Linked DNA regions of Xenopus tropicalis. The protein of the gene in region 3 interacts with the protein of the main gene of each other region in a pairwise test. Links are inferred from orthologs where the notes say so. Each region holds a gene or a part of one and is shown on either strand. Other genes may lie near its edges. The genes, in order: mcmbp, fosl2, ddit3, batf, tnfsf12 and dbp.

Region 1 (4,042 bases), on a different chromosome or scaffold from region 3:
GACAGGTTGGGGGGCACTGGGCAGTAGGACAGGGTTGGGGGCAACTGGGCAGTAGACAGGGTTGGGGGGCACTGGGCAGTAGGGACAGGTTGGGGGCACGGCAGTAGGACAGGGTTGGGGGCACTGGCAGCAGGTTGGGGGGCACTGGGCCAGTAGGACAGGGTTGGGGGGCACTGGGCAGTAGGACAGGGTTGGGGGGCACTGGGCAGTAGGACAGGGTTGGGGGGCACTGGGCAGTAGGACAGGGTTTGGGGGCACTGGGCAGTAGGACAGGGTAGGGGGCACTGGGCAGTAGGACAGGGTTGGGGGGCACTGGGCAGTAGGACAGGGTTGGGGGGCACTGGGCAGTAGGACAGGGGTTGGGGGGCACTGGGCAGTAGGACAGGGTTGGGGGGCACTGGGCCAGTAGGACAGGGTTGGGGGCACTGGGCAGTAGGACAGGGTTGGGGGGCACTGGGCAGTAGGACAGGGTTGGGGGGCACTGGGCAGTAGGACAGGGTTGGGGGCACTGGGCAGTAGGACAGGGTTGGGGGCACTGGGCAGTAGGACAGGGTTTGGGGGGCACTGGGCAGTAGGACAGGGTTGGGGGGCACTGGGCAGTAGGACAGGGTTGGGGGGCACTGGGCAGTAGGACAGGGTGGGGGGCACCGGGCAGTAGGACAGGGTTGGGGGGCACTGGGCAGTAGGACAGGGTTGGGGGGGCACTGGGCAGTAGGACAGGGTTGGGGGGCACTGGGCAGTAGGACAGGGTTGGGGGGCACTGGGCAGTAGGAGTGAGGGGCCCCTTTACTCACCGCTCGGAAGCATTGCGGGGCCGTGCTGGCTCACAGGGATGAAGGGAAGGGAGAAGCTGATCTCGGAGGCGGAGAAGAGCAGGTTGTTGCCAGGCGGCCCGGACTGAGCCCCGTTAGGTACCTTCCCCGCCATGTCCGTCCCACAAGTTCCACGTAACCCACCCGGGACAGCAGGAACCGGACCCGTCACCAAGTGAGTACGTCCAATCAATACCTACGGGCGTTCCGCGTTATCCAATGAGAACTCGCCAAACACAAACCTCCCCAACCAGTGGCTGAAGAGCAAAGTTCATATGCATGACGTAGCACCTCAGCTCCACCAATTAAACCGTGCGTTTAGATAAAAGGGCGGTTCCAGAGGTTCCTATCCCTTTCGCTAACTATAATGTGGCTGCCCGGCTGAGGACTTCCGCCAGTCGCTACGTGCACTCCAGCCAAAACATGGCCGCGCTCATGGAGATTTCCGCCAACCAGTGCGTTTCGGGAGCGCTTGACGCGACCCATTGCGTAGTGACGTCTTTTTCCCGCCATCACTGAGTTAGTTCAACGAGTCTTTGGTGTCTGCGCGATGACTGGAGGAGAAAGCTGGATCAGCGACCCGCTCGGTGTGGTACAGGGCTTGTTTGGTGAGTGGGGCAGCGTCCGGCCCCCGGGCCAGCAGGAGTGGGGCGGGTAGAGCCGGGCATGAGTGGGGCGGGTAGAGCCGGGCATGAGTGGGGCAGGCGGGTAGAGCCGGGCATGAGTGGGGCGGGTAGAACCGGGCATGAGTGGGGCGGGTAGAGCCGGGCATGAGTGGGGCGGGTAGAACCGGGCATGAGTGGGGCGGGTAGAGCCGGGCATGAGTGGGGCGGGCGGGTAGAGCCGGGCATGAGTGGGGCGGGCGGGTAGAGCCGGGCATGAGTGGGGCAGGCGGGTAGAGCCGGGCATGAGTGGGGCTGGTAGAGCCGGGCATGAGTGGGGCGGGTAGAGCCGGGCATGAGTGGGGCGGGTAGAGCCGGGCATGAGTCGGGCGGGTAGAGCCGGGCATGAGTGGGGCGGGTAGAGCCGGGCAATGGGTGGGGCGGGTAGAGCCGGGCATGAGTGGGGGCGGGTAGAGCCGGGCATGAGTGGGGCGGGTAGAGCCGGGCATGAGTGGGGCGGGTAGAGCCGGGCATGAGTGGGGCGGGTAGAGCCGGGCATGAGTGGGGGCGGGTAGAGAGCCGGGCATGAGTGGGGCGGGCGGGTAGAGCCGGGCATGAGTGGGGCGGGTAGAGCCGGGCATGAGTGGGGGGGGTAGAGCCGGGCATGAGTGGGGCGGGCGGGTAGAGCCGGGCATGAGTGGGGTGGGTAGAGCCGGGCATGAGTGGGCGGGGTAGAGCCGGGCATGAGTGGGGCGGGCGGGTAGAGCCGGGCATGAGTGGGGCGGGCGGGTAGAGCCGGGCATGAGTGGGGCGGGCGGGTAGAGCCGGGCATGAGTGGGGCGGGCGGGTAGAGCCGGGCATGAGTGGGGCGGGCGGGTAGAGCCGGGCATGAGTGGGGCGGGTAGAGCCGGGCATGAGTGGGGCTGGTAGAGCCGGGCATGAGTGGGGCCGGGTAGAGCCGGGCATGAGTGGGGCGGGTAGAGCCGGGCATGAGTGGGGCGGGTAGAGCCGGGCATGAGTGGGGCGGTGAGCCGGGTCGGGTAGAGCCGGGCATGAGTGGGGCGGGTAGAGCCGGGCATGAGTGGGGCGGGTAGAGCGGGCATGAGTGGGGCGGGTAGAGCCGGGCATGAGTGGGGCGGGCAGAGCCGGGCATGAGTGGGGCGGGTGAGGGGCGGGTAGAGCCGGGCATGAGTGGGGCGGGCGGGTAGAGCCGGGCATGAGTGGGGGCGGCGGGTAGAGCCGGGCATGAGTGGGGCGGGCGGGTAGAGCCGGGCATGAGTGGGGCAGGCGGGTAGAGCCGGGCATGAGTGGGGCGGGTAGAGCCGGGCATGAGTGGGGCGGGGTAGAGCCGGGCATGAGTGGGGCGGGTAGAGCCGGGCATGAGTGGGGCGGTAGAGCCGGGCATGAGTGGGGCGGGCGGGTAGAGCCGGGCATGAGTGGGGCGGGTAGAGCCGGGCATGAGTGGGGCGGGTAGAGCCGGGCATGAGTGGGGCGGGCGGGTAGAGCCGGGCATGATGGGGGCGGGCGGGTAGAGCCGGGCATGAGTGGGGCGGGTGGGCGGGTAGCAGGCCGGGCATGATGGGGCGGGGTAGAGCCGGGCATGAGTGGGGCGGGTAGAGCCGGGCATGGGGGGCCGGGGTAGAGCCGGGCATGAGTGGGGCGGGTAGAGCCGGGCCATGAGTGGGGCGGGGTAGAGCCGGGCATGAGTGGGGCGGGCGGGTAGAAGCCGCGGCATGAGTGGGCCGCGGGTAGAGCCGGGCATGAGTGGGGCTGGCGGGTAGAGCCGGGCATGAGTGGGGCTGGCGGGTAGAGCCGGGCATGAGTGGGGCGGGCGGGTAGAGCCGGGCATGAGTGGGGCTGGCGGGTAGAGCCGGGCCATGAGTGGGGCGGGTAGAGCCGGGCATGAGTTGGGGGGAGGGCGGGCGGGTAGAGCCGGGCGTGAGTGGGGCGGGCAGGTAGAGCCGGGCATGAGTGGGGCGGGCATGAGTGGGGCGGGTAGAGCCGGGCATGAGTGGGGCGGGCGGAGCCGGGCATGAGGGGGGGTAGAGCCGGGCATGAGTGGGGCGGGCGGGTAGAGCCGGGCATGAGTGGGGCGGGCGGGTAGAGCCGGGCATGAGTGGGGCAGGCGGGCGGGTAGAGAAAACCCATTTAGGGGCATATTTATTATAGTGTGTAGGCAACATTATAAGTTCTAAAATGTAAATATCTGGTTGGTTGCTATGGCAACATGACTAGTGATGTTTGCTTACACCCTAATATAAAGATGCCCTTTAGTGTGATGGCACCTGTGGCACCATGCCATCTCTGCTGAGTATGGAGCGGCCTCTAGTAGCCCAACGATCCCTGATTGTTGAACTGTGGCACCCAGCACCCACATTCCCTGCTCGCTGTATGCATGGGGGTGGCACAGGTATGTAGTGTTGGGTGGCACCCTCTCACTTAGGTGGGCACTGGGTTTAGCGCTGCACAGGATGTGCCCCAATAGCAGCTGGGGGGCCCCAGGCTACTGTACCCTGAATCAGGACATGGGTGTGAGTGCATTACACAGTTACGTAGTAGCTCAGGTAGAAAAAAGACCAACTTTACTGAATATCATGTTTATCCCTTTCAGCTATTAGCGTTTTGCTT
Region 2 (4,058 bases), on a different chromosome or scaffold from region 3:
AGGGGGCAGTTCAGTGGGCAGTACAGAGGGCAGGGGGCAGCGGGGAGTACAGTGGGCAGAGGGCAGTACAGTGGGCAGAGGGCAGTACAGGGGGCAGTACAGAGGGAAGCGGGCAGTACAGAGGGCAGCGGGCAGTACAGGGGGCAGTACAGAGGGAAGCGGGCAGTACAGAGGGCAGCGGGCAGTACAGGGGGCAGTACAGAGGGCAGCGGGCAGCACAGCGGGCAGAGGGCAGTGGGCAGTACAGCGGGCAGAGGGCAGTACAGGGGGCAGCGGGCAGTACAGTGGGCAGTACAGGGGGCAGTACAGTGGGCAGTACAGGGGGCAGTACAGTGGGCAGTACAGGGGGCAGTACAGGGGGCAGTACAGGGGGCAGTACAGTGGGCAGTACAGTGGGCAGTACAGGGGGCAGTACAGTGGGCAGTACAGGGGGCAGTACAGCGGGCAGTACAGCGGGCAGTACAGGGGGCAGTACAGCGGGCAGTACAGCGGGCAGTACAGTGGGCAGTACAGTGGGCAGTACAGCGGGCAGTACAGGGGGCAGTACAGTTGGCAGTACAGGGGGCAGTACAGGGGGCAGTACAGGGGGCAGTACAGGGGGCAGTACAGTGGGCAGTACAGGGGGCAGTACAGTGGGCAGTACAGTGGGCAGTACAGTGGGCAGTACAGTGGGCAGTACAGGGGGCAGTACAGTGGGCAGTACAGCGGGCAGTACAGTGGGCAGTACAGGGGGCAGTAACACAAGATAAAGCAGACACAGGCATGTAATACAGAGGACAAAGGCAGGAATGTTCTGGGAGTGGGGAGGGAATACACAGGGAGAGGCAGAGATTACAGAAGGGGGGGGGCAAATGGGAAGGGAGAGTGACCCTCACCTGCAGGATGGAGGTAGATAAGGTGCTGCTGGGGTAACCCTCAGGCTGGGCTGGGGAGCTGCTGCTGCCACGGGAGGAGCTGTCGAAATTCCCTGGATAATCCTGGTACATGATCTGAGCTCTGAACTCACAGGGTGGGAGGCTGCCGGGGTCCAATCTTCAAAAAACACATACGGAAAGGCAATCAGACACTGGCACCCAATGTGTGCCCATATACCCACTGTACCCTGTGCCCATATACCCTCTGTACCCTGTGCCCATATACCCTCTGTACCCTGTGCCCATATACCCTCTGTACTGTGTGCCCATATACCCTCTATACTGTGTGCCCATATACCCTCTGTACCCTGTGCCCATATACCCTCTGTACCCTGTGCCCATATACCCTCTGTACTGTGTGCCCATATACCCTCTGTACTGTGTGCCCATATACCCTCTATACTGTGTGCCCATATACCCTCTGTACCCTGTGCCCATATACCCTCTGTACTGTGTGCCCATATACCCTCTGTACCCTGTGCCCATATACCCTCTGTACTGTGTGCCCATATACCCTCTGTACTGTGTGCCCATATACCCTCTGTACCCTGTGCCCATATACCCTCTGTACTGTGTGCCCATATACCCTCTGTACCCTGTGCCCATATACCCTGTGTACTCTGTGCCCATATACCCTCTATACTGTGTGCCCATATACCCTCTATACTGTGTGCCCACATACCCTCTGTACCCTGTGCCCATATACCCTCTGTACCCTGTGCCCATATACCCGCTGTACCCTGTGCCCATATACCCTCTGTACCCTGTGCCCATATACCCTCTATACTGTGTGCCCATATACCCTCTATACCGTGTGCCCATATACCCTCTGTACCCTGTGCCCATATACCCTCTATACTGTGTGCCCATATACCCTCTGTACCCTGTGCCCATATACCCTCTATACTGTGTGCCCATATACCCTCTATACCGTGTGCCCATATACCCTCTATACTGTGTGCCCATATACCCTCTATACTGTGTGCCCATATACCCACTATACTGTGTGCCCATATACCCTCTATACTGTGTGCCCATATACCCTCTGTACTGTGTGCCCATATACCCTCTATACTGTGTGCCATATACCCTCTATACTGTGTGCCCATATACCCAATGTACTGTGTGCCCATATACCCACTATACTGTGTGTCATATACCCTCTATACCCTCTCATATACCCACAATTTACCCATATACCCAGTGCAATGTGTGCGACTGTGCCCCCATACCCACTGTGCCTCCATACTCACTGTGCCCCCATACCCACTGTGCCTCCATACTCACTGTGCCCCCATACTCACTGTGCCCCCATACCCACTGTGCCCCCATACTCACTGTGCCCCCATACCCACTGTGCCTCCATACTCACTGTGCCCCCATACCCACTGTGCCCCCATACCCACTGTGCCTCCATACTCACTGTGCCCCCATACCCACTGTGCCTCCATACTCACTGTGCCCCCATACTCACTGTGCCCCCATACTCACTGTGCCCCCATACCCACTGTGCCCCCATACCCACTGTGCCCCCATACCCACTGTGCCCCCATACCCACTGTGCCATGTCTCCATATCCTACATTGGGACACTTCTCCATATAATTGCTTTCTGTCGGATCACCCCCCCACGCCGTATACCCGCTGATCCATAAGACATATACCCGCTGATACCCTGGCAAGAGATGCCCCCACCTTGTTAATCCAACTCAGCGGGCGCCCAGTGGGGCGAATAGATATAAAGTGCCAGGCCCGGCCCTGTAATCCAATGGGTGCTGTCAGTGCGATCTCTCTCCCATAGGGTGCTGGGTGCGCTGCCGGCTGTGCTGCCGATCCAAGTGTCCTGCCCCAGGTACTCTTAGTTATCCCGATTGTACAGCGCTAGGTACTCTTAGTTATCCCGATTGTACAGCGCTAGGTACTCTTAGTTATCCCGATTGTACAGCGCTAGGTACTCTTAGTTATTCCGATTGTACAGCGCTAGGTACTCTTAGTTATCCCGATTGTACAGCGCTAGGTACTCTTAGTTATCCCGATTGTACAGCGCTAGGTACTCTTAGTTATTCCGATTGTACAGCGCTAGGTACTCTTAGTTATTCCGATTGTACAGCGCTAGGTACTCTTAGTTATCCCGATTGTACAGCGCTAGGTACTCTTAGTTATTCCGATTGTACAGCGCTAGGTACTCTTAGTTATTCCGATTGTACAGCGCTAGGTACTCTTAGTTATTCCGATTGTACAGCGCTAGGTACTCTTAGTTATTCCGATTGTACAGCGCTAGGTACTCTTAGTTATTCCGATTGTACAGCGCTAGGTACACTTAGTTATTCCGATTGTACAGCGCTAGGTACACTTAGTTATTCCGATTGTACAGCGCTAGGTACTCTTAGTTATTCCGATTGTACAGCGCTAGGTACTCTTAGTTATTCCGATTGTACAGCGCTAGGTACTCTTAGTTATTCCGATTGTACAGCGCTAGGTACACTGCAGGCTGTGCTGCTATTCCATGTGTCCTGCACTAGTTGCACTCCCAGCTGTACGGCACAGGGCACACTGCCGGCTCCTCTGATCCCCCCGGCTGGGCTGGAAGTCGCACTTCTGACTGGGCAGATCTGTCAGTACGGCACAGGGCACACTGTACAGCGCCGATGACACTGCCGCTGGAGCTGCGCTGGGTGAGTCAGACCGGAGTCACTCTGATCACTGACTGAGCTACCAGCGCTCCCAATGCGACTCAGGCTCCTCCCCCGGGGCGTGGCCGCCCTTGTTTCCTGCGGAGAGTGGGGCAGTACCAGGCCGGGGGGGGTGTTACCCTGCGCTCTCACCTCTTTCTTCCACTTGCCCCGACCTGCCCGCTCAGCTCTGCCCCCCCCGCACTATTGGACTATCCCAGCTGTTGGCTCCCCTGCCAAGCGCTTGGTTCGCTCCATTGACGCAAGTAGCAGCCATATATGGGCAGTGACGCAAGCGGGTTCCCTTGGTTGGAGTGACGTGTGCGGGAGGGATTCCCTGGCTGGCTCGGAGCACCTGCTGGGCTTGGGAAGGTGGGGGCTCCGTACTACGGGCCATTGTAGCGCTTAGTATTGAGGCTTCAAATGGGCCTTTGGCAATACATGGTGGGTAGGGGAATACAGTGAGTAATATC
Region 3 (4,075 bases):
CCACACATGGACTGAAAATCATACAAAATGTAGTACTGGTTTGGCCAGCTTAAGTCTTAGTGAGATCTTAAGCAATAAGGAGGCAATGTAATCAAAATGGCAACTAGATCTAGTAACCCATAGCAACCAATCTGCAGGTAGTGCTTACTAAATTAGGATCTTGAATACAATAGGCCTCGAGACTGGTTACTGTTACAGGTTAGTCTTTATTTTTTTTTTTTTTTATACAAATAACCTTCACACAACATGCACCATAAAACAACTATAAAACTTTGCCAGCTCGGTTAAAAAAAAAGGTAATTCCCCTCTAAACACCCTTAACCGAACACAGATCTAAAAGGTGCCCATACACGTGAAGATTCGCTCGCTTGGCGAGGTCGCCAAGTGAGCAGATCTTCAACCAATATCCACACCTACAGGTGGCAATATCAGGGAACATGTAGGCCAATTCAATCGTTTAGCTCTGGGGCCAAACAATCTAATTATAATGGCGGCAATGGGGCAGTCAGTTCGGGGACCGCATCTTTTAACTGGCCCGATCGATATATGGCCAATTTGGGGCAGATATCGGTCGGGTATGGCCGTCACTTCTGCCCCTACAGGAGCCGATAAGCTGTCATATCGGTCCAAGGGACCAATATCAGCAGCTACAATCGGCCCATGTATGGGAACCTTTAGTGTGGGAATGGACCCAAGCGGAATTATACAGGGATTTTTTTGGCCGCTGTAATCTGCTCTACTGCAAGCAACAAAACTTCACTAGGTTTTCCCACCATTAATTCATATTACTGCCGCTGGGAAGGAAATTTGGGATATTTTGTCAGCTGGAGCAGCGCAGATTTAGCAAAGGGGAACAAAATGTTTGTGACATTGCCCTGAAGGAAAGCAGCCTGTATTTATATTCAGTTAAACAAATGGACATTAAACAAGATAGTGATTGGTTTCATTTTATCATCTTGTTGTTGGTTCTACAGTCACTCTCAGCACCTGTTTAACTATGGGTGCCTTGTAATATCCATTTTGTGAGTAAAGGTGGCCATACACAGGCAGATTTAAGCAGTCAATTCAAGCTCTTTGGACTCTTCAGAAAGAGCATTTAGTTAATTGTTAAAGACTCTGCCCATGACTTTAATTTTGCTCTTAAATATTTTAGTTCAGTTTGGCCAGGGGGGTGGAAGCCTAAATTTCATCTGGCATGTGCAATTTCTATAGTTTTAGATTCTACCATCTACAATAATATAGGGCAGGTAATGGATCACCAACTTACATCCCGTGAGAGGAAAATTGAGGAAATTGAGCAGCAGAAAATGGAAACATAAGAAATCACGACAGCTTGGATAACTGAATTGCCGTTTGTTTTGGCCAGCAGTGTTCCATTGTCCTATTCTGTGACAAGCTCTATCAAATGATGTATATGGTATGCTCCAGTGTTTAGGAGATAAGGAATCATTAACAGACAGTCCTTGGAAAAGGGCAAATGAATATGCCTGTAGGACAAGCATTTTATTACTGGTCTGTGCCTGTACTCTCCTTTATCGGGTTTAATAAATGCCTTGGCTGATTTCAACCCCCCTGGTTGCCTTACAGCAGCACCAGGAGTGGGATAAAGTTAAATGGCTATGAAGTCAGGCAATACACGCACCGATAATATACGATATTTGGTGCGTGTATGGCAACTCGGCAAGGCGACAGATATCGCAGAAGGTTGCGGATATCGGTCGACACTCCAGTCGGGAGCCATTGAAGGCGTCTGAGCAAAATCTGCCTTCAGGGCTGAATCGACAGAAGGAGGTAGAAATCCTGTTGTTTGTACCTCCATATCTGCCGTTTCAGCCCTGAATGTCAGCGGAGGGTTGGAACGATCTTTTGTGCGACCACCATGTGGCCAGCTTTAGTGCTTAATCTATGCCAGCTGCTGTGTGATGGGAGTCACATTGGGGTCCGGACAGCTGGAGAGTGGGATCTGCTGCTGGGCTGCTGTGTCTGCCTGGCTGCTCCAGCTGAGAGACAACAGGGAGGAAGGGAGGGGGAGCCACCGCTGTATTGTAATCCTGGGCTCTGTAACCGGCAGCAGTGCGAGAGTGGGCTCTGGGACAGGCTTAACCAGCACTGACTGGCCCTGCCTCCACTCATTCATAAGCCTCAGATACCTGGGATGCCGTAGGTTCTAGAACTGAGCACTCTTTGCCCTTTTGGTCCCATATAGATTGTAAGCTCTACGGGGCAGGGACCTCGTTCATCTTGTTTCTGACTCTTATTGCAACTGTACCTTGTATTTATTTGTATTTATTGTTATACTTTGTATTTATCCATTATCTTTAACCCCCTGTTTGTATTAATGTATTCTACTGTACAGTGCTGCGTACATAAGTAGCGCTTTATAAATAAAGACATACATACATACATACATACATTTCGCCCCAACCAACAAAACAGACTCTAAAGAAATTATAGAGCATCTCCCCTAATGGACCATACCAGAACGAACAGTCTTACCAGTATCAACACTAAAGATGAACTACATCTCTCATCTTATAGACTCAGGCTCTGCACAGCGTTGGAATAATAAAATGGTCACAAAAAAACGTCACTGTGCGCTTGCCTTACTAGAGCCGGATTAAAGGCACACATAGGAGATGCCGATACCTATGTCCAAAACTCGCTGTAATCAATATGAACACAAGAAATAACAATACCTTTCTCCACGTAGGGTCTGTTCTCTTTTGACAAATAAAGCGACAGCGTGAGCTGGTTTGTGGTTGCACGTTAAGAGACTGTGGGCTCATGTTAAACATCGTCTGCGTCTTCAGCAAAACGACTGAGGATATGTGCGAAGAAGCCGCGTTATATAGCTCGCTGCCTTAGCCAATCAGATCGTCGATCCCAATCTAGCGTACACGACCCTTATCCTATTGCTTCCTCATTCGCCTCTAGCCAGACGTTCCGGGGAGGACTTCTATTGCCAGCCCCCAGGTGCCTTCTACAGCCAATTAGAAGGCTAGCTGAAAAAGCATAACGAGGTATGAAACGCAGAGGCCCGTCAACCGGAAGCCTAAAGGCGGAGACACTTGGGTATGCTGTTGTGCAGTCAGAGGGTGTGTTGCGGAAGTGTTTTGTTGGAAATCACGAGACGAGAGTGAGTCATAGTGGGTGATGCAAGAGCTGGCAAGCTGGGGCCAAGCCTTCCCCCAACCCGAGGGACTTTCCAAGCTTGCTTTTCACCTTCAGGTTGTACGACCTTGTCCGCAACCTGGTTTTATCATAAGAAAGCAACATAAATAGCGAGAACTAAACCTAAAGAAGTAATACAGAGAGATATAAAACCTGCGTTGCTAGAAACAACTAGCGACTAATCCTAACGCCAAAATTGTATAAGGTGCCGGGTTTTTTATCGTTCCAATTATTTAAAGCAATTTCACTTTAGAAATGTAGCTGGCTAGTATACCAACTAAAACACACAGGGGCATATTTATTATAGTGTATAAGCCAGCATGACTTGAGGCGATAGCAACCAATGAGATATTTGCTTTTGTTTCTAACTTGTGATTATTAAAATCTAATTGCTTATTGGTTGCCATGGGCAACATTACCTGTCATGTTGGCTTACACACTGAAATAAATATGCTTCTTAATACCACCTTATAATGTATCTAATTATACAGTTCATTACTCAAAAATAATTTTATTCCAGTTTGCCATGTACATAATGAATACATCTTTATTTAAAAAAAAAAAATCCATGAAAAGTCTATATTAAAAAACCTGTACAAAATATGTATGAAAAAAATCATGAAAAACAATGGAATCCTTAGGTGTAATAGAAGTTAATGTGGTCAAATGAAGTCACTTGATAGTGTCAATGTAGATGGACAGCGGATGTTAGCTGAACAGCATCAATTTAAAATAGCAAAAATACTAAGGTGAAAATATTGAAGCAGTAACAGGTGGGATGGTGGTTTTCCTGATGGAAAAACGAGTTATTTAAGCATTGACTGTTTTAATTACTGAGGCTAGTGCTAGGCATTGGGTATAGATGTATAACTCTTTAATGTACCACCACTCTTTAAATTTGCTG
Region 4 (3,993 bases), on a different chromosome or scaffold from region 3:
AGTGTGAGGAAGTAACTGTGTATCCCTACACTCTCTCTATGTCTCAAGGATAAAATATCACATTGGCTTACTTATTACTGTATCGCATTTATATCTCATATGTCATGAACGTATTTAAGGGTTGGTCTTGTCACCTTTTACCTAAATGTTTTATTGTATTACATTTACAAGAAGTGCTATATAAATGAAAAAAATAAATAAATATATATATATATATATGATATACAAGTAAATGTAGTGGCTATAGCTCACATTAAGATAGAAATAGTAAAATACCTTTGCACTTTGTTATGTTAAATTTACAAAATACAGCAGCAGAAACCAAACCTCCGTTTACAGGAAAGGGGAGTGGGGGGGAGGAGGAGAGATGAGAGGGGGCTGTGAGTTTGGAGGGGAGGGGGTGTCTTCCTGTAATGGGAGGTAAAAGGGAGATTTGCTACATACAGAGAGGATGCAAACAGAAAGTTGTTGATCAATAAATAAATGAAAATCAGGCAGCATAGCACACTGCATCACTTCTACAAATTTGCACTGGTCTGCAGTTCAAAAAAGTAAATTCCAGGGTGCTGAATTTTGGTCTACAGTATGGTATATGTACAGTATTCTGCAGAGAATCATGTACAGTAATGAGCATACAAGAGTCACTCTGCCTGCATACTCACAATGTGTAAAGAGTCTGCTTTCTGTGTCTGCCGCTGGCGGCTTTTCTGTGCTGCAATCCTATTTTTCTCTCTTCTCTGAATTTTCTTTGTGTCGTCTGAAGAATCCTTACAAAGAAGGCAACTAGAGAGTGTTAGACTGCATGAAGACTATTATGTATGATAGGATGTGATATGTGCTAAAATCCTTGATGTCACATAGAAATAATCAGAGACTAGCATTAACTAGAAAACTCCACAGCAGGCTTTATCCTTTTATATCACCGACCCCACACTGGAAAAAGGCAGTTGCAAAAGTGGGTAACAATTTTTATCAGGCATCTGGTGTGGATTTTTTAATGATAATCTGTACTGATCTGTACATAGTAAGGGTAAGTACATGTGTGCTACAATCCCCATTTGCCAACATGGTCTGGGATTTTAATGTACAAGCACTTGGTCAGTTTAATGTGAGCAAAAAATATATGTATGACATGCCATAGAGATCATTTACAGACGAGTACTGGGGATTGCCAATATGTTGGGTAACAAAGTAGGGCAAATCTTGTGGCCTGGGATGGTATACTTGTTCCATAAAAACACAATGGTACAGGATACTTTATTGAAGTACCGCGATGTCGGAGCCACAATAACTTATGATGAGTTAACTATTCAGCATGTGCACCTGCTCAGTGGACCCAGGAGATATTGAATTATTGGCATCAAAATAGCAGTACAGTGCAGTGCTCTTCAAGAAAGTATCCTTGCTGGCAAAGTTAGTGATTTGCCTCACTGGGGGCTACCCAACATATTGGCACCCCCACTGTTTTATCCTACTTATCCTTTAAAGGTAATAATGTTATCACAGTGAAAAATACAATGTGAGATATCATTCATCTGGGTGATTACATGCATCACTTAATGTGGTTATACCAACAGGAATTAGTGTTATTACATCATTCAGTAGACAAAATTAAACACAATGTGTACAATGCACCTGTAATTTTGCAGTCCAGTGGTAAAAATTCTTACAACCATATTAACATAGTAAATGGCAGTGTGCATCAGCTCTTACAAGACCTGATAATACCTAATGAATTCTGTGATATTTCTTCATTTTTAAGAATCCTTAACATTCTGGCTTAAAATTAAAACACCACCCCTTAATCAATATAGACCTATAAGAATAGCAGGCTTTTACACTGTATAGATCCTGGGGTATCAAATGGAATATGCACTGTGACATGAGAGAAAGGCTGAGACATCAGAGGCAATAAAAGTCCATATCCAACTGGTGTTCTTATGGCCACAGTAGATTAAGAGCATTTGGCTTACCTGTTTGTTGCTAGAAGGGGGAGAGCTGCAGTAGCCCTGCTCATTTCTATCAGGCTCTTGTTGCATGTCCCCCCTAGCCTCTTGAGGCTGCTTTGTCCGTCAAACTTTTTCTCTGCACTTGGTTTCTTTTCCTGTTTCTCAGGGGAATCGGAGCCTTTGTCAGTTGCTGCCCCTTTTGTGTGAACTTGTACTTCCTTTGCAGTCTTCACGTCTATTTTACGTTTCTTCCTCTGGTTCTTCTCTCGCAAGGTTCTCACCCATGACGCAGCCACCTCTCCCTGTCACCTTTCCGCGTGGTTTTGGTGTCTGGGGACCGGAGTTGGAAGTCACATGACAGAAACATGTTATAAATGTCAGCTAAAAAAATCAAAAACACATTGGGGACAAGGTGAAAAATACCCAGGAAAACCCCACATGTCATCAGAGAGGAGTGTGTGGGAGGAGTGAGGTGAGTAGTGTTTCACTGTATTTCTCAAAGATGTTATTACTGATGTGGAAAAAATAACGAGTGGAGCATAATATGTTCAAAATAGTGCTAGCTGCTTTTCTGGCCTCAGTTTTTGCAATAGAAGCATAAGATCCTATGGTGGCCATACACAATCAGACAGGTATCTAAATGATGCAAGATGCATGTATATTTTGTAATTTGCCTAGAGCCGTTATCCCCAACCAGTGGCTTGCTCCCAGTGGCCTCAAGTTTGGCTTGGAGGCAAATTTTGGAAGCACAGAGACACAGTTTAACTCCAAACAGAAACTTCTGCAGGCTAACAGCCAATCAGAATCACATTAGTGCCACCTATAACGCTATATTTCATACCTCCCAACATTTGAAAACCGAAAAGAGGGCCAAAAAGAATTGGTGCGTGCAGCGCGGCAAATTTTTGACCACGCCCACTTTTGTGGCCACGCCCCAATTAACACACCCCATTGTTTTCTATAAAAACTCCTTTTATATAGTTGAAATGGTGGGATCAGATGCAAATGTGCTATACCCTCATACTGTACTACCTAAGGAAAACAATATAGCAACTCCCACATATAAATACAAATATAGAGAGAAGGCAGTGAGTTATATGTGAGTTCTAACTATCTACCAGTTTTGCCCCCCCACACAGGGGAGACTCATACACAGAGCCCCCCATACACAGTGCCCTTTATACACAGAGCCCCCCATACACAGTGCCCTTTATACACAGAGCCCCCCATACACAGTACCCTTTATACACAGTGCCCCCCATACACAGTGCCCCCCATACACAGTGCCCCCCATACACAGTGCCCCCCATACAGCGTGTCCCCCATACACAGTTCCCCCATACACAGTGCCCTTTATACACAGTGCCCCCCATACAGCGTGCCCCCCATACACAGTACCCTTTATACACAGTGCCCCCATACAGCGTGCCCCCCATACACAGTACCCTTTATACACAGTGCCCCCCATACACAGTACCCTTTATACATAGTGCACCCCATACAGTGTGCCCCCCATACACAGTACCCTTCATACACAGTACCCTTTACACACAGTGCCCCCCCATACAGTGTGCCCCCCATACACAGTACCCTTTATACACAGTGCCCCCATACACAGAGCACCCCCCATACACAGTACCCTTTATACACAGTGCACCCCATACAGTGTGCCCCCCATACACAGTACCCTTCATACACAGTACCCTTTATACACAGTGCCCCCCATACAGTGTGCCCCCCATACACAGTACCCTTTATACACAGTGCCCCCATACACAGTGCCCTTCATACACAGAGCACCCCCCATACACAGAACACCCCCCCATACACAGAGCACCCCCAAACACAGAACACCCCCCATACACAGAGCACCCCCATACACAGAACACCCCCCCATACACAGAGCACCCCCAAACACAGAACACCCCCCAATACACAGAGCACCCCTAAACACAGAACACCCCCCCATACACAGAGCACCCCCATACACAGAACACCCCCCCATACACAGAGCACCCCCATACACAGAACACCCCCCCATACA
Region 5 (3,500 bases), on a different chromosome or scaffold from region 3:
GTGCCCCACGTACAGGGCGAGGCCTCGCTACCCCCGGCACTAACACATCCGCCCATTGGCTACCTGCGCGCTTGGGCCGGCTCTTCTCCCTCAGCTTCTGGTACAGATATTGCTGCTTCTCCCATACATTCTGGTAATAGATCTGTTGGGGGCAATAAGGTTTATACAGTGAGCCATTCCTCTAATGAGCTTTCCTTCTGATATACAGTATATATATATACACACAATGCTTCTGATATACAGTATATATATATATATACACACAATGCTTCTGATATACAGTATATATATATACACACACAATGCTTCTGATATACAGTATATATATATACACACAATGCTTCTGATATACAGTATATATATATACACAATGCTGTGCCCGGCACAGTAGCACAGGGAGGTGTAGGGGTCTATATACAGCTTCTGATATACAGTATATATATATATATACACAATGCTTCTGATATACAGTATATATATATATACACACACAATGCTTCTGATATACAGTATATATATATACACAATGCTTCTGATATACAGTATATATATATACACACACAATGCTTCTGATATACAGTATATATATATACACAATGCTGTGCCCGGCACAGTAGCACAGGGAGGTGTAGGGGTCTATATACAGCTTCTGATATACAGTATATATATATATATACACAATGCTTCTGATATACAGTATATATATATATACACACACAATGCTTCTGATATACAGTATATATATATACACAATGCTTCTGATATACAGTATATATATATACACACACAATGCTTCTGATATACAGTATATATATATACACAATGCTGTGCCCGGCACAGTAGCACAGGGAGGTGTAGGGGTCTATATACAGCTTCTGATATACAGTATATATATATACACACACAATGCTTCTGATATACAGTATATATATATATACACACAATGCTTCTGATATACAGTATATATATATATACACACAATGCTTCTGATATACAGTATATATATATACACACAATGCTTCTGATATACAGTATATATATATACACAATGCTTCTGATATACAGTATATATATATACACAATGCTTCTGATATACAGTATATATATATACACACAATGCTTCTGATATACAGTATATATATACACACAATGCTTCTGATATACAGTATATATATATATACACACAATGCTTCTGATATACAGTATATATATATACACACAATGCTTCTGATATACAGTATATATATATATATACACACACAATGCTTCTGATATACAGTATATATATATATATATACACAATGCTTCTGATATACAGTATATATATATATATATACACAATGCTTCTGATATACAGTATATATATACACACAATGCTTCTGATATACAGTATATATATATATACACAATGCTTCTGATATACAGTATATATATATATACACACAATGCTTCTGATATACAGTATATATATATATACACACAATGCTTCTGATATACAGTATATATATATACACACAATGCTTCTGATATACAGTATATATATATATACACAATGCTTCTGATATACAGTATATATATATATACACACAATGCTTCTGATATACAGTATATATATATATACACACAATGCTTCTGATATACAGTATATATATATATACACAATGCTTCTGATATACAGTATATATATATATACACACAATGCTTCTGATATACAGTATATATATATATACACACAATGCTTCTGATATACAGTATATATATATACACACACAATGCTTCTGATATACAGTATATATATATATACACACACAATGCTTCTGATATACAGTATATATATATATACACAATGCTTCTGATATACAGTATATATATATATATACACAATGCTTCTGATATACAGTATATATATATATATACACAATGCTTCTGATATACAGTATATATATATATACACACAATGCTTCTGATATACAGTATATATATATATATACACAATGCTTCTGATATACAGTATATATATATATACACACAATGCTTCTGATATACAGTATATATATATATATACACAATGCTTCTGATATACAGTATATATATATATATACACAATGCTTCTGATATACAGTATATATATATATACACACAATGCTTCTGATATACAGTATATATATATATATACACAATGCTTCTGATATACAGTATATATATATATACACACAATGCTTCTGATATACAGTATATATATATATATACACAATGCTTCTGATATACAGTATATATATATACACACACAATGCTTCTGATATACAGTATATATATATATACACAATGCTTCTGATATACAGTATATATATATACACACAATGCTTCTGATATACAGTATATATATACACACAATGCTGTGCCCGGCACAGTAGCACAGGGAGGTGTAGGGGTCTCCGTACAGACACACTGTCCCATTTATATATATGGGGGTCTCACCTGAGTGTCGGAGTCCAGCTGCTGCTGCTGGGGGGGCAAATCCTTTAAAGAGAAAACACAGAGTTCCCTGCGTTACATACATATAATATACATACATGCCTGTGTGTAGCTGATAGTGGGGAATGAAAGTTCTGCATTACCTGTGGCAGCCTCTAGGGGAGCTCTAACTGCCTTGGTTTGCTATTTGCAACTAATAGTTCTCAAAGACCAATATACCCTCACACTAACAGCGCTCTAACACCAACATACCCTCACACTAACAGCGCTCTAACGCCAACATACCCTCACACTAACAGCGCTCTAACACCAACATACCCTCACACTAACAGCGCTCTAACACCGACATACCCTCACACTAACAGCGCTCTAACACCAACATACCCTCACACTAACAGCGCTCTAACACCGACATACCCTCACACTAACAGCGCTCTAACACCAACATACCCTCACACTAACAGCGCTCTAACGCCGACATACCCTCACACTAACAGCGCCCTAACGCCGACATACCCTCACACTAACAGCGCTCTAACGCCGACATACCCTCACACTAACAGCGCCCTAACGCCGACATACCCTCACACTAACAGCGCTCTAACGCCGACATACCCTCACACTAACAGCGCTCTAACGCCGACATACCCTCACACTAACAGCGCTCTAACACCAACATACCCTCACACTAACAGCGCTCTAACACCAACATACCCTCACACTAACAGCGCTCTAACGCCGACATACCCTCACACTAACAGCGCTCTAACACCAACATACCCTCACACTAACAGCGCTCTAACGCCGACATACCCTCACACTAACAGCGTTCTAACACCAACATACCCTCACACTAACAGCGCTCTAACGCCGACATACCCTCACACTAACAGCGCTCTAACACCAACATACCCTCACACTAACAGCGCTCTAACGCCAACATACCCTCACACTAACAGCGCTCTAACACCAACATACCCTCACACTAACAGCGCTCTAACGCCAACATACCCTCACACTAACAG
Region 6 (3,500 bases), on a different chromosome or scaffold from region 3:
CGGGAGCTTTTGGGGAGGTGGCCCTATGTATTTGATTTATTAATCTTTAGATAAAATATGCTCCCAGCTTCCACCGTAGATTTCTGGCATCAGAGCTGGAGGGGCAGGGGGCCGCTTCAGGCTGCAAAAATTACATCTTGCATGTGACTTCCGCGATGTAAGGAGTATGTAAAGTCACACACAGGTTGCACATGATGTCATGTCTGTAAAGTACAGCCATGATTGGGGGCTATAAAAATTATTTGGAGGGACACGTCCAGGCCCGCAGTTCTCCAGTTGGACAGCCTTGCTCTAGGCTAGTGCCAAAAAGCTAACCTTAGCAGGTCATAAAAAATCATTGAAATGTTAGTAAAAAAATGACACTACATTTGACATAGAAGATAATGTTTTATTGCAATCCTGATGCAGAACCCAGTAGTTTGTATGCTGTGTTGTATTATGAATCTGAAGGAATTACTAATTAGCCTTGTATTTTGAATTTTATAATGTATTATATATGTAATGTATATACAGGTATGGAATCTGTTATCTGGAAACCTGTTATTAAGAAATCTCTGAATTATGGGAAGGTCATCTCCCAAAGATTTTATTTTAATCAAATAATTCAAAAATTGTAAATATTATTGGATTTATTTAAAGCTTAAATTATTTTTAGCAGACTTAAAATATGGAGATCCAAATTCCGGAAAGACTCAGGTCCAAAGCATTCTGGATAACAGGTTCCATACCTGTACACTGCCTATACTCAGTTAAGTTAAAAAAAACAGGTAGAATTTCAGTGATTTTTGCACATTGCGCATGGAACAGGCTAAAAAACTGTAACTTGATTTCCACTCAGAGCCCCATGCTCACAGGCATTACTTTTGGAACCAATGGAAAGTATTTATAGCCACTTACATGTTTTTAAAGTGAAAGAGTGCAGACATAGCAAAAAACGGTCTGTACCTGCTTGGCTGCTTGGATGTTCATATTCACTGTCAATCATGCTTTGCACAGGAGAAGAACAGGCGGAGGTAGAAGAGGCGCAGGAGGCCGGTCGGCTGAGATCAACCACTGATTGGTTAGATGGAGGTGGCGTCAGATTCGCTGGTGAGAAGGGCTGGTGAGGTGGGCTTGGAGGAAGGCCATTCTCTCGTAGGAACTCATCCAGGTCCACATACTCTATTTCATTATATGGCAATGTGCGTTCCCACAGTAGGGACCCCAGGAACGCACAGTGAGCGGGACGAGGACCAGTCATGTCATCTTCTAGTTTCCTCTCCTTTTCTTTCATTATACCTTTGGGAGAGAATGAAAGAAGTTGAAAGAAAAAAACTTCCCTTATGCTTCAGATCTGACATCATATTTGAAGCTAATGAGAACTGACCCAGTCAAAAATCAAAATATTATTTTCTTAAAATAGATTTCTCCTGGCCAAAGGTCACACTGTGCAGTTTATTGGTGCTTTAGTATCCCAGAATATATAAATGAAATGGAGAGAGCAACCTGTTACTCTTTAGATGTTACTGAACTACAATTCCCAGAATGCCCTGACAGCTGAAATTTCCCAACCTTGCACATAATCATTTATGGCACCATCCTTACAAAGAGGAACAGCAAGCTGCAAAAAAACAAAAAACAAAAGAAAGAAATAACAGTCCCTTTGTGTGTGCAAGACATAATTTATGCTTTATCTGGAGATTTGCCAGCCCAACCACAAATTTTACTAATAGCCTGAAATTTCCTCTAAACTTAAACCGCCCAATACACGGATTAGTAGCATTTGTCCTCCAGCTGTCGCAGCACAACAACTTTCAGCTTTCACCAAAGACTGCATGTAGCATCAGTTGTGGCGCTATCACTTAAAGGGGTTGTTCACTCTTTAAGTTAACTTTTAATATGATGTAGCAAGTGATATTCTGAGATAATATGCAATTGGTCTTTATTTTTGGTGTTTTTTTTTAATTATTTCACTTTTTGTTTAGTTATGTGGTTGCTAGGGTTCAAATCATCTTAGCAACTAAGGAGGGGTTTGAATGAGAGGCTGGTATATTTATAGGAGAGGACCTGATTAGAAAAATAAGTAATAAAAAGTAACAATAACAATAACATTGTAGCCTCACAGAGCAATAGTTTATTTTTGGCTGCTGGGGTCACTGACCCTCCATTTGAAAGTTGGAAAAAGTCAAAAGAAGACGGCGCATAATATAATAATAATAAAAGAAACTATAAAAAATAAGTAATGAAGACAAATTGAAAAGTTGCTTAGAACTGGCCATTCTATAACATACTAAAAGTTAACCTAAAGTTTAACCACCCCTTTAATAATAATAATCATTGAGCTTGTACTGAAAACTGTATAAGTTTTCCTGTCCCATCCATCTGAGCAATCGAGGCCACATATAACAGTAGCATTGCCATCTCTTGTGGAATAAATGACTAGCCCTCCTATGTTACCTTTCGCCCCATATATACCATTGCCACCATTATAACTGACAGGGCCTGTAAAAAACTGGCCAGGTAGGTGCCCCACACTATAAAATAAACAAAAATACTAAAGAAGGCCAAGCAGGAGACTTTTTTGCATTTTAAGCTTTAAATTCTTACTGTTTTTTCTCCATTGGTTTCTTTTGCTGGCACTCTGCTAGTAAGTTGGGGATTCAGCCAATAGGAAGTGACTGGGTGTTTGTTTATACTGTACTCTGCTTCATGTCACCTGACTGCTCTGTTAAACCCAATGATCTACTTGTGTGATGCCTGGTGTATTCACACTGTGGTGGATCAGCTTGTGCCTGAACTGTTGCAATCAGTGCCCAATGAGACAAGCAGACATGCCAGCAGTGGAGAACATCTGTATGGACCCTTTAATGTTTAGTACTGTTTAGTCAGAAGAAGCCAAGATGGATTCTGATGGCAACACTAATGGCTGAGGCTATGCTGTCCAACTTTTTCCATGTAGAGGTCAATTTATTCGTTATACAGAATATTTACAAGCCAGATTATATTAAAATGATGATGATGTGACAACATTTTATTTACACAGTAAACCTCTCTGTATGATTTTTTGGAACATGGGTGGAAACCAGAGCATCAAACCTTTTGCCACTGTGATGTCATCCAAACAAGGTTATGGAACTCTTGTGCAGGCTAGGGCCATAATATTTGCCTGGAGGGCTACTTTTGGCCCATCCAACCTGCAGACCTTCAATTAGAGGGGCCAGGCCTAGGCCTTAAAAGAAAAGTAACACTAAAAACTTTTAACTAAAAAATCTATTCTACCCTCCCCCAGTAATTGCCCTATCCTGAAAACCATTTGTTATTTTGAATGCTTTAGTAGAAAATACCTGTTAAAAACTCGGCTTCCTGTCATTTGAACAAAGGCGATACGGCGATGCAGGGGAAGTATCAGGAGATGCATGAACTATGCGGTGATCGATTGATCGAGCCTAGCCTGACTTCTGTATAGGAAGGAGTCAGGCTAGGCTCGATCAATCGATCGCCGCATAGTTGATGCATCTCCT

What was found.
Region 1: the proteins of ddit3 (region 3) and mcmbp interact in binary tests that used the Homo sapiens proteins (3 or more experiments, as listed by UniProt). The two-hybrid records come from large-scale screens. The link is inferred for Xenopus tropicalis from reciprocal best matches to the Homo sapiens genes DDIT3 and MCMBP.
Region 2: the proteins of ddit3 (region 3) and fosl2 interact in binary tests that used the Homo sapiens proteins (3 or more experiments, as listed by UniProt). The two-hybrid records come from large-scale screens. The link is inferred for Xenopus tropicalis from reciprocal best matches to the Homo sapiens genes DDIT3 and FOSL2.
Region 4: the proteins of ddit3 (region 3) and batf interact in binary tests that used the Homo sapiens proteins (3 or more experiments, as listed by UniProt). The link is inferred for Xenopus tropicalis from reciprocal best matches to the Homo sapiens genes DDIT3 and BATF.
Region 5: the proteins of ddit3 (region 3) and tnfsf12 interact in binary tests that used the Homo sapiens proteins (3 or more experiments, as listed by UniProt). The two-hybrid records come from large-scale screens. The link is inferred for Xenopus tropicalis from reciprocal best matches to the Homo sapiens genes DDIT3 and TNFSF12.
Region 6: the proteins of ddit3 (region 3) and dbp interact in binary tests that used the Homo sapiens proteins (3 or more experiments, as listed by UniProt). The link is inferred for Xenopus tropicalis from reciprocal best matches to the Homo sapiens genes DDIT3 and DBP.

What each region holds. Positions count from the first base shown.
Region 1 is NC_030683.2:6,240,572-6,244,613, forward strand, and holds the start of mcmbp (mini-chromosome maintenance complex-binding protein), read left to right. Parts: upstream 1-1,242; 5' UTR 1,243-1,362; coding exon 1,363-1,420; intron 1,421-4,042. Other genes in the region: sec23ip (SEC23-interacting protein), read right to left, coding at 795-927. UniProt on the Homo sapiens protein: Associated component of the MCM complex that acts as a regulator of DNA replication.
Region 2 is NC_030681.2:5,731,226-5,735,283, reverse strand, and holds the start of fosl2 (fos-related antigen 2), read right to left. Parts: upstream 2,801-4,058; 5' UTR 2,609-2,800; intron 1,033-2,608; 5' UTR 987-1,032; coding exon 876-986; intron 1-875.
Region 3 is NC_030678.2:140,584,251-140,588,325, forward strand, and holds the start of ddit3 (DNA damage-inducible transcript 3 protein), read right to left. Parts: upstream 2,801-4,075; 5' UTR 2,697-2,800; intron 1-2,696. UniProt on the Homo sapiens protein: Multifunctional transcription factor in endoplasmic reticulum (ER) stress response. Plays an essential role in the response to a wide variety of cell stresses and induces cell cycle arrest and apoptosis in response to ER stress.
Region 4 is NC_030684.2:82,351,310-82,355,302, reverse strand, and holds the start of batf (basic leucine zipper transcriptional factor ATF-like), read right to left. Parts: upstream 2,801-3,993; 5' UTR 2,040-2,800; coding exon 1,974-2,039; intron 768-1,973; coding exon 663-767; intron 1-662. UniProt on the Homo sapiens protein: AP-1 family transcription factor that controls the differentiation of lineage-specific cells in the immune system: specifically mediates the differentiation of T-helper 17 cells (Th17), follicular T-helper cells (TfH), CD8(+) dendritic cells and class-switch recombination (CSR) in B-cells.
Region 5 is NC_030679.2:147,513,829-147,517,328, reverse strand, and holds part of tnfsf12 (tumor necrosis factor ligand superfamily member 12), read right to left. Parts: intron 2,521-3,500; coding exon 2,479-2,520; intron 143-2,478; coding exon 64-142; intron 1-63. UniProt on the Homo sapiens protein: Binds to FN14 and possibly also to TNRFSF12/APO3. Weak inducer of apoptosis in some cell types. Mediates NF-kappa-B activation. Promotes angiogenesis and the proliferation of endothelial cells. Also involved in induction of inflammatory cytokines.
Region 6 is NC_030683.2:105,053,694-105,057,193, forward strand, and holds part of dbp (D site-binding protein), read right to left. Parts: intron 1,279-3,500; coding exon 946-1,278; intron 1-945. UniProt on the Homo sapiens protein: This transcriptional activator recognizes and binds to the sequence 5'-RTTAYGTAAY-3' found in the promoter of genes such as albumin, CYP2A4 and CYP2A5. It is not essential for circadian rhythm generation, but modulates important clock output genes.